2 linked regions of the Danio rerio genome follow. The protein of the gene in region 1 purifies or fractionates together with the protein of each later gene. This does not show direct contact. Links are inferred from orthologs where the notes say so. Each region holds a gene or a part of one and is shown on either strand. Other genes may lie near its edges. The genes, in order: ppm1g and kpnb1.

What was found.
Region 2: the proteins of ppm1g (region 1) and kpnb1 purify together in Homo sapiens (affinity purification with mass spectrometry; 3 studies listed by BioGRID and IntAct, with this or other methods). This does not show direct contact. The link is inferred for Danio rerio from reciprocal best matches to the Homo sapiens genes PPM1G and KPNB1.

Annotation. Positions count from the first base shown.
Region 1 is NC_133188.1:6,217,751-6,222,249, forward strand, and holds the start of ppm1g (protein phosphatase 1G), read left to right. Parts: upstream 1-1,432; 5' UTR 1,433-1,851; coding exon 1,852-1,962; intron 1,963-2,523; coding exon 2,524-2,593; intron 2,594-4,146; coding exon 4,147-4,232; intron 4,233-4,499.
Region 2 is NC_133194.1:51,609,625-51,613,703, forward strand, and holds the end of kpnb1 (importin subunit beta-1), read left to right. Parts: intron 1-57; coding exon 58-201; intron 202-470; coding exon 471-576; intron 577-655; coding exon 656-770; intron 771-876; coding exon 877-1,038; intron 1,039-2,343; coding exon 2,344-2,344; 3' UTR 2,345-3,356; downstream 3,357-4,079. Other genes in the region: csf3b (colony stimulating factor 3 (granulocyte) b precursor), read right to left, coding at 3,640-3,816, 3,930-4,049.

The sequences.
Region 1 (4,499 bases):
TTAATATAGCATTTTGCTTGGTCTTAAAGCCTTTTTCAGAGTATTAATTTGACTATTTACGATGACATAGCAGTCAACATAAGGCAAATGAGCTCATGTATGGGACCAATTCTGGATCTTTGTCATTGAGGGGTGAGTTTTTTCAACCACCCGAACTCCTCTGGCTATGGGCCTGCAAAGTTACTTTGAATAAGGTTCAAATTGGGATAATTTTGACACTTACCACCACTTTTTTCAGGTTGGAGCTGGAATTTATGTATTTGCTGCTGTGATGTCAGTTCAATGTAGCGTGTTGTCAGACTATTGTTGTTTACACCTTGGAGTGAAAACAGACTGAACTTGAGGACGGGTGACCTGGTCCGATAAAAACACTACACAGACAGCATGATCGTCCTTCTCGGAACCGCAAATGGCCATGGCATGACCGTATAACTCGCACGTCTCCTTCGTCAACACACAGGCGTGCGCCGGGCGGCCGCGCACGCTAACAGTATAGCAACCTCTCGCGATACAACCTCTCCAATGCGGCGCCACGCGATATTTGCAAACAAAACATATGGATCTTTTTTATTATCATTTGACAGTAATGGAGGAACGCCGCGAAATGTAGCGAAGAGTACTGATTTTTCTCTAATAATTTACTTGAATAAAAGTACACATATTTAAATTTACTCAAAAAGTACACGTTACCCAATAATTTTACTCAAGTAAATGTAACGAAGTAAATGTAACTCGTTACTACCCACCTCTGAAACTAATTATCATGTAAAGCAACACACCCCTAAAACAACGACCTGTGTACATCCCCCCCCTCCCTAACTCACACTTTTTAACACATTATAATAAAAAATCTAAACTGTGTTTTAAAATGAACCTAAACTTGCAGAAGAACCATATAATAATAATAAATCTTAAAAAAGGGGTAAACTAGGTGCCCTTATTTTCAATACAGCAATACCTGACTATAAAAAGATGACAATTTTGAAGAAAAACTAAACCAGAAAAAATGTTTATGTCGAAGGTAGGTTTAAAGCCACTTCAGCTTAAGGGTACCCTTCATAACATCAAAATCAGTTGCATTCAATCCTCCCTCCTTGATTGGTTTCACTACATCTGATTTTCTTAGATAATGATGCTTATTCTTCCATAGAAAAGTATATTGCATTCGATTCAGATTTTTAATGCACCTATCAGATGTACTTACAGAAAAAGATGGGTAAATCATTCTGGAAAGTGTTGTACCTTTTGTAAAACAATTATACCAAAAATAGATAGATTCCTTTGAACCCACAAATTTATTATATTTTGACTTTTTTTATATTAGTCTCTGCAATCTATTGTTAACTATTATTTAAACCAAAAAAAAAAAAAGAAATTCTAAAAACCACGTGCATGCGCGAACTCACAATAGACTTCCGCTTCCGGTGTGCCTAAAGTCCGCTCTCTGCGAAATGGGTTTGTTGCTGGACTGTTGATTATGTTGACTCACACGTGTTAGGGGCTTTTTTGCTTTTAAAAAGAGGCTCTGACTGCATCAACGTTTATCCCCATTCGCGTTTAATGTGAGCTCGCTCAGTTTCAGGCAGGCCTGCCCGGACTCTCCATCATACCTGAGTGATTGTTCATTTAGAAACTCCAGCAGCATCAGCAGTGTTAGCAGCAGCCCATCAGCTAGCAGCAGTAGCAGGGTAAAACACCGGTTTACTCTCATCCAAGCTTCACTTCGCTCTGAAATGTGACCAGAATCTAGTTTTTACAGACGTATTACCTTCTTTGAAGTCAGTGGATTGGATTAAGTGGATTTATTTAATTTTACGCGTTTTCTTTTCACTAAATCTCACTGCACACATCATGGGGGCTTACTTGTCTCAACCCAACACGGAGAAGAGCACTGGCAACGGCGGGAGCAAGAACTTGAACTATGGGTTCTCGGCCATGCAGGGATGGCGAGTGTCTATGGAGGTAAAACAACCACTTTAATAATATTAAATAGGTTTTGTTACTTTAATTTGCTGATAGATGGATTGCTAATGCTATTAACGAGCAAATGTACGTGAATTATATGTTATTAAAACTATTGAGGTAAAGTTGTTCATATATTCAGACTTTCTCCGTAATAATATGAATTCAGAAAAGTATTCTTTGCCAATTTTAAATGTGAAGATCATACTAGCAGCCTGTGACTATCAAAGTACATTGTTCACTCAGTTAAATGATGCTAACGTTGCATTGGAGTCATACTTGTATGCTACTTCAGACCGAATATTCAAAGTAACGTTACCATGGTAAACAATATAAGGAGCATGTCACCGTTCACAAATGAACGAATGTGTGAATATAAAACCAACTTTAACTCCATTTCAAAGCAGTGTATATTTGCTTTTCAAAGTTAAGTAATGCTAGTCAGTATTTTTTTGTCTAGTGGGAGGAGTGACGTGCGCGGATTTTGGCGCCAGTGAGGTCAGAGGGTGACTCCCGCCTCAAGCTCTCGGTTTTTCTTCATAACCTGTTTTTGTTTCCTAGGACGCGCACAATTGCATCCCGGAGCTGGACGATGAAACCGCTATGTTCGCTGTCTATGATGGCCATGGAGGTAAGATAATAGTATAAGGATTTAAAGATGAGGAAGAGAGACTCGTTTCTGTCAGTTGTCCGGCCTCCGATGTTTCCAAAGCAGTCTGTTCATTAATGGGATAGTTCACACTAAAATGATTCTTCACTCACTATTTACTCTTCCTCAAATGGTTCCAAATCTTTGACTTCCGTTAAAGGCCACCTATGATGGAAATCAACTTTTGTGAGCTGTTTGGACAGAACTGTGTGTAGGTATAGTGCATACCTGTCAACATTGGGATGTGAAAATAAGGGATATGCCCACCATAATAAGGGATTCCCCTGACCCCCTTTAGAAAAAATTCCCCAAATTACTTAATATGCTCATTTGCAGCTGTTTCGTTGTAAATAAACAGTTCAGTGGTCAGTAGTATGTTTTATTATTATTTACAAAAGAAAACATAAATAGTATACATTAGCAGCAAATTAGCAAACAGTTCAGCTTATTAAAATTAATAGCTATTATTGAAATGTAATAGAATTAAATCCCATTAGCCATTTCTTCACTGTATAACATACACATTCTGATTAAAGAGCAACGAATGCATGATTTATTTAGATTTTTTTCCCCTTTGTTTACATTAAATAACAAGTGTCACTTTAAAAATGCACACATCTAATGTTATAATGAAAGCATTCAATTGCTAAATTGCAGCTGTTTATGCTCATTTAGGACGAAATTATTTGTGATTGGAAAAATAAAAAACACCAAGATCGATATCTTTAGATATTATTATTTTTATTTATGTGTATATCTGTTGAAACACGCACCCAAAACCCAGTCTTTTGCTCCGCTTCAAATCTTGAGTACAGAATCCGTTTGGGAAAACAGCGTCTGTTTATAACTATGGAGCGCGTCAGCTTACAGTCATGCAGCGCTATATGACTGTTTTGAGGATTGCATATGAAGGGGAGACGGCACCTGCAATGAGTAGGAAGAGAATCGCGCCGTTTTAATGTTTATTTCAAAGTGTTTTCATGCCTAAACAAAGCGAAAGCACTGAACAGACTCGCATTTAAGAGCAAGGGGCGGTCCCTAGTGGTTCGGCGGTATAGGTTGCGTATGGGAGGATCGACTAATTAAGGTTTATTTGCCACCTTTCAGAGAAAGACTAAAAATACGGGAAAATAACTTTACGGGATCATGGATCATTTTTCTGCTGATTGAGCTGCTCTGAGACATTGGTAACTTATAACAGGCTGCTCACTCCAACGATTTAATGAATAACATTGTAGTTGTATTTAGACATTTATAATTTCATTTTCACATTTTCTTTTTAATTAAAATAGTTAGTGAGCATCCAAATGGAGAGTAACAGATTCATATTATTCATTAGCCATTGCTGACTTTAACTTTTATTTGGCGAGTGGCAGTTTTCGGTCCTGGACATGAGGGTGAGCAAATTTACAATCGGTTTAGCATTCCTAAATGTGGACCAAAATGGATTTTCCTGGATGTTCTCACATAATTCATCAGTTAATTTTCAGAGTCTTCATTGAGTTTGGGCACACTCTGTTATGTTGTTTCTCCAGGTGAGGAAGTTGCTTTGTATTGCTCCAAGTACTTACCAGGCATCATTAAAGAGCAGAAGACGTATAAAGAAGGCAAGCTGCAAAAGGTAAACCTTGCTGATCTGTTTAAGTTGTTTATTGTTAAGATATGACTAATAGGTTTGTCCATTATGATTTCTTCAATGACAGTTACCTTGTGCGATTTTGAATGGGTTTCATTGTATTTATTATATTTGTATAAATCCAAGTTGCTTTTGCCATGAAGATACTCTAGCCAATGAAGGTTATATAGCATTTAATAGAAGATGCAATATGATGACATTTACCACCAGCTCTGTGGCTCAAATCAACTCCTGCTTCCGCTTGTACTGAAG
Region 2 (4,079 bases), on another chromosome or scaffold:
AGCTGCGCTTACACTAGTTCAGCATGTAATCGTGTGTGTGTGTGTGTGTGCGCGCAGAATGAGAATGTGCACCGCTCCGTCAAGCCCCAGATTCTGTCTGTGTTTGGAGACATCGCTCTCGCCATTGGAGGAGAATTCAAGAAGTACCTGGACATTGTGCTGGACACTCTGCAGCAGGCCTCGCAGGCACAGGTGGACAAGGTGAGCAGATGAACACACACACACACACACGGCGCTCAGTGTTTGACGATTGTTGTTGAACTTCTGTCTATTATCATCTGTGGTGCTGTGATGTCCTTCAGTCGTGTAGAGCAGACGTTCAGCGCTGCTCTGGGCTATCACTGATCTTAAACAGTTCAATGAGAAGATCTCCAGACCTGACCGCTGACAGCACACACACTGTCTGTCTGTTACACGAGCTGAGCTGTGTGTGTGTGTGTGTGTGTGTGTGTGTGTGTGTGTGTCTGCAGACGGACTATGATATGGTGGATTACCTGAACGAGCTGCGTGAGGGCTGTCTGGAGGCCTACACCGGCATCATCCAGGGCCTGAAGGGGGACCAGGAGAATGTGCACCGTAAGTGAACACACACACACACACACACACACTTCAGCATTGCATGGCGTGTGCGTAATGTGTGTGTTCTCCTGCGCAGCCGATGTGATGCTGGTTCAGCCGCGTGTGGAGTTCATCTTGTCCTTCATTCACCACATCGCAGAGGACGAGGACCGATCTGACGGAGTCGTGGCTAATGCTGTAGGGCTCATCGGGTGAGGCACATACACACACACACACACACACACACACACACACACACACTCGTACAGACAGACATTGTGCAGTAGTCTGACCCCTGTGTGTGTGTGTGTGTGTCAGGGACCTGTGCACCACCTTCGGGAAGGATGTGATGAAGCTGGTGGAGGTGCGTCCTCAGATCAATGACCTGCTGACTGAAGGCCGGAGATCCAAAACCAGCAAAACCAAGACTCTGGCCACGTGGGCCGCCAAGGAGCTGCGCAAGCTGAAGAGCCAAGCCTGGTGCGTGACCTCTGACCCCACAAACCTGCCTGTGTGTGTGTGTGTGTGTGTGTGTGTGTGTGTGTGTGTGTGTGTGTTAAAGCTGTTCACTCCAGTCTGAGGAGCACAGAGAGTGTGTGTTTCTCTGGCCCTCACTCTGCGAGTGTGTGACGTGTTGTTCTCCTGTGTGTGTGTGTGTGTGTGTGTGTGTGTTTCTCTGGCCCTCACTCTGCGAGTGTGTGACATGTTGTTCTCCTGTGTGTGTGTGTGTGTGTGTGTGTGTGTGTGTGTGTGTGTGTGTGTGTGTTCCTCTGCCCCCCACTCAGCATGTGTGTGACGTGTTGTTCTCCTCTGTGTGTGTGTGTGTGTGTGTGTGTGTGTGTTCCTCTGCCCCTCACTCAGCGTGTGTGTGACGTGTTGTTCTCCTCTGTGTGTGTGTGTGTGTGTGTGTGTGTTCCTCTGCCCCTCACTCAGCGTGTGTGTGACGTGTTGTTCTCCTGTGTGTGTGTGTGACGTGTTGTTCTCCTGTGTGTGTGTGTTCCTCTGGCCCTCAGTCAGCGTGTGTGTGTGACGTGTTGTTCTGTGTGTGTGTGTGTGTGTGTGTGTGTGTGTGTGTGTGTGTGTGTTCCTCTGCCCCCCACTCAGCATGTGTGTGACGTGTTGTTCTCCTCTGTGTGTGTGTGTGTGTGTGTGTGTGTGTGTGTGTGTGTGTGTTCCTCTGCCCCTCACTCAGCGTGTGTGTGACGTGTTGTTCTCCTGTGTGTGTGTGTGACGTGTTGTTCTCCTGTGTGTGTGTGTGTGTTCCTCTGGCCCTCAGTCAGCGTGTGTGTGACGTGTTGTTCTCCTGTGTGTGTGTGTGTGTTCCTCTCAGCGTGTGTGTGTGACGTGTTGTTCTCCTGTGTGTGTGTGTGTGTGTGTGTGTGTGTGTGTGTGTGTGTGTGACGTGTTGTTCTCCTGTGTGTGTGTGTGTGTGTGACGTGTTGTTCTCCTGTGTGTGTGTGTGTGTGTTCCTCAGCGTGTGTGTGACGTGTTGTTCTCCTGTGTGTGTGTGTGTGTGTGTGTGTGTGTGTGTGTGTGTGTGTGTGTGTGTGACGTGTTGTTCTCCTGTGTGTGTGTGTGTGTGTTCCTCTCAGCGTGTGTGTGACGTGTTGTTCTCCTGTGTGTGTGTGTGTGTGTGTGTGTGTGTGTGTGTGTGTGTGTGTGTGTGTGTGTGTGTGTGTGTGACGTGTTGTTCTCCTGTGTGTGTGTGTGTGTGTTCCTCTCAGCGTGTGTGTGACGTGTTGTTCTCCTGTGTGTGTGTGACGTGTTGTTCTCCTGTGTGCGCAGATCTCCGGCTGTGGAGTTTCTTCTTCTTCTTCTACCAGGACAAATGGAAATGAAAGCCCTGCGGTTCTTCTGTCTTTTAGAGCTGTGGACAGAAGTGCTTGTGCGCTGATGAGTGTGTGTGCGAGTGTGAGAGCGAGTGTAAGAGCGAGAGATTGACACACACCTTCAGTCCAGCTCCAGCAGAGGAACAGCGGCACACACCTCCACCTTCTCCACCTGCCCGCGTTCTCCATCCTGACCCGATCCTCCCCCCGGCCCGATCAGCTGCAGGACTGACCGTCACACACTGATTAGCAGACGGCGGCCGCGGGAACCTGCTGCTGGAGCCATGATGGCGTGACTGGAGTGTGTGTGTGTGAGTGAGCGAGGGCGGCGCTGTTTCCGCGTCGTCTCTCAATATTTCAACCAATAATAAATAAAGGTGATCAATATCTTGTTTGCGATTGAGTGAGCTGCTCTTGCGTTCCCTCGGCGAGCGGCAGTGGAGGCGTCCGGCCTCTCGTCACGGCTGCGCTACATTACTGGCCTCCTCCTCCTCCTCCTCCTCCTCTGTGTTTCTTTAATAATAGTGCTGATTGAGTAATGGTTCTCTTACCGGTGTGTGTTAGTATGGATGTGCGGATCGGAGCTTCACCTGCCCTGCCTAGGGAAGACTATTGCCACTACAGGCGCAGGCTCCGGCGGAGCGACGGGATATTAGACACCTCCACACGCGACTTTATTCTCCTTTATTTGTTTTGCAGGAAACTGAGTGCCAAACCCAGCGGTGCAGATGGACTTGAGCTTAATGTGTTACTCGTAGAAGATGCGAATTAATAATACACACGTCAGCGGCGGCGAGCCGAGCAGCATCCATGTGCTTTTGGTTGTAATTTTTTGTTTTGTTTTCCTCTTGCGGCACTTAATTGGAGTCATTCACCGAGCTTTTAAGAAGACGACGACGGACAGAATCAGACATTTGTATGAGGTTATATTTTTCCATTGATATGAAAATAAAGTTAAATTAAATCTTTCTGCTGTGTGTGTGTGTGTGTTGTGTCTTCAATAATGGCACATAAATGAGCAGCACACGTCCACAAGACCAGTTCAGGAAAATAATTTAATAATAAATACATTTAAATAGAACATTACAGCGCACCCACAGGGCACAACATGTGTTAAACACACAACATGTGTCGGTCAACATGTGTTAAACACAACATGTGTCGGCTACCAAAATAACAAATGTTCAAAACAATAAATATTAAATATATAAATATGTAGCGAAAGTCATGGTGTGTGTGTATGTGCGTGCAGTTAGCATTGAGACACACTGATGCAGCGCAGGCTGCGGAACACGTCCTGCATGAAGCTGCGCAGCTGCCGGAGTGTCGCGCGCACACGCACCTGCAGCTTGAACTGGCTGAGTGGAGCCGAGAGAGTGTGTGTGTGCGGCAACACCTGAGGACCAGCAGAGGGCACCTGGAGGAGGAGCTGCAGAACACAGAGCGCATTACACACCAGTACACACTAATACCAGTCAGTAATACACACACGCTCACCACTGTACACTAGTGTCAGTCAGTAACACACACACACACACTCACCAGCGTGCGCAGCTCTGCGAGGTCGTTCAGTAGGTTCTCTGGGCGGCAGGGCTCCAGCAGCTTCAGCAGGACTCTGTGATGAAGCTCCAGACCGATGAGCATCCGCTGCACACGCTCCTCCTGCACACACACACACAATGTTAGACACAC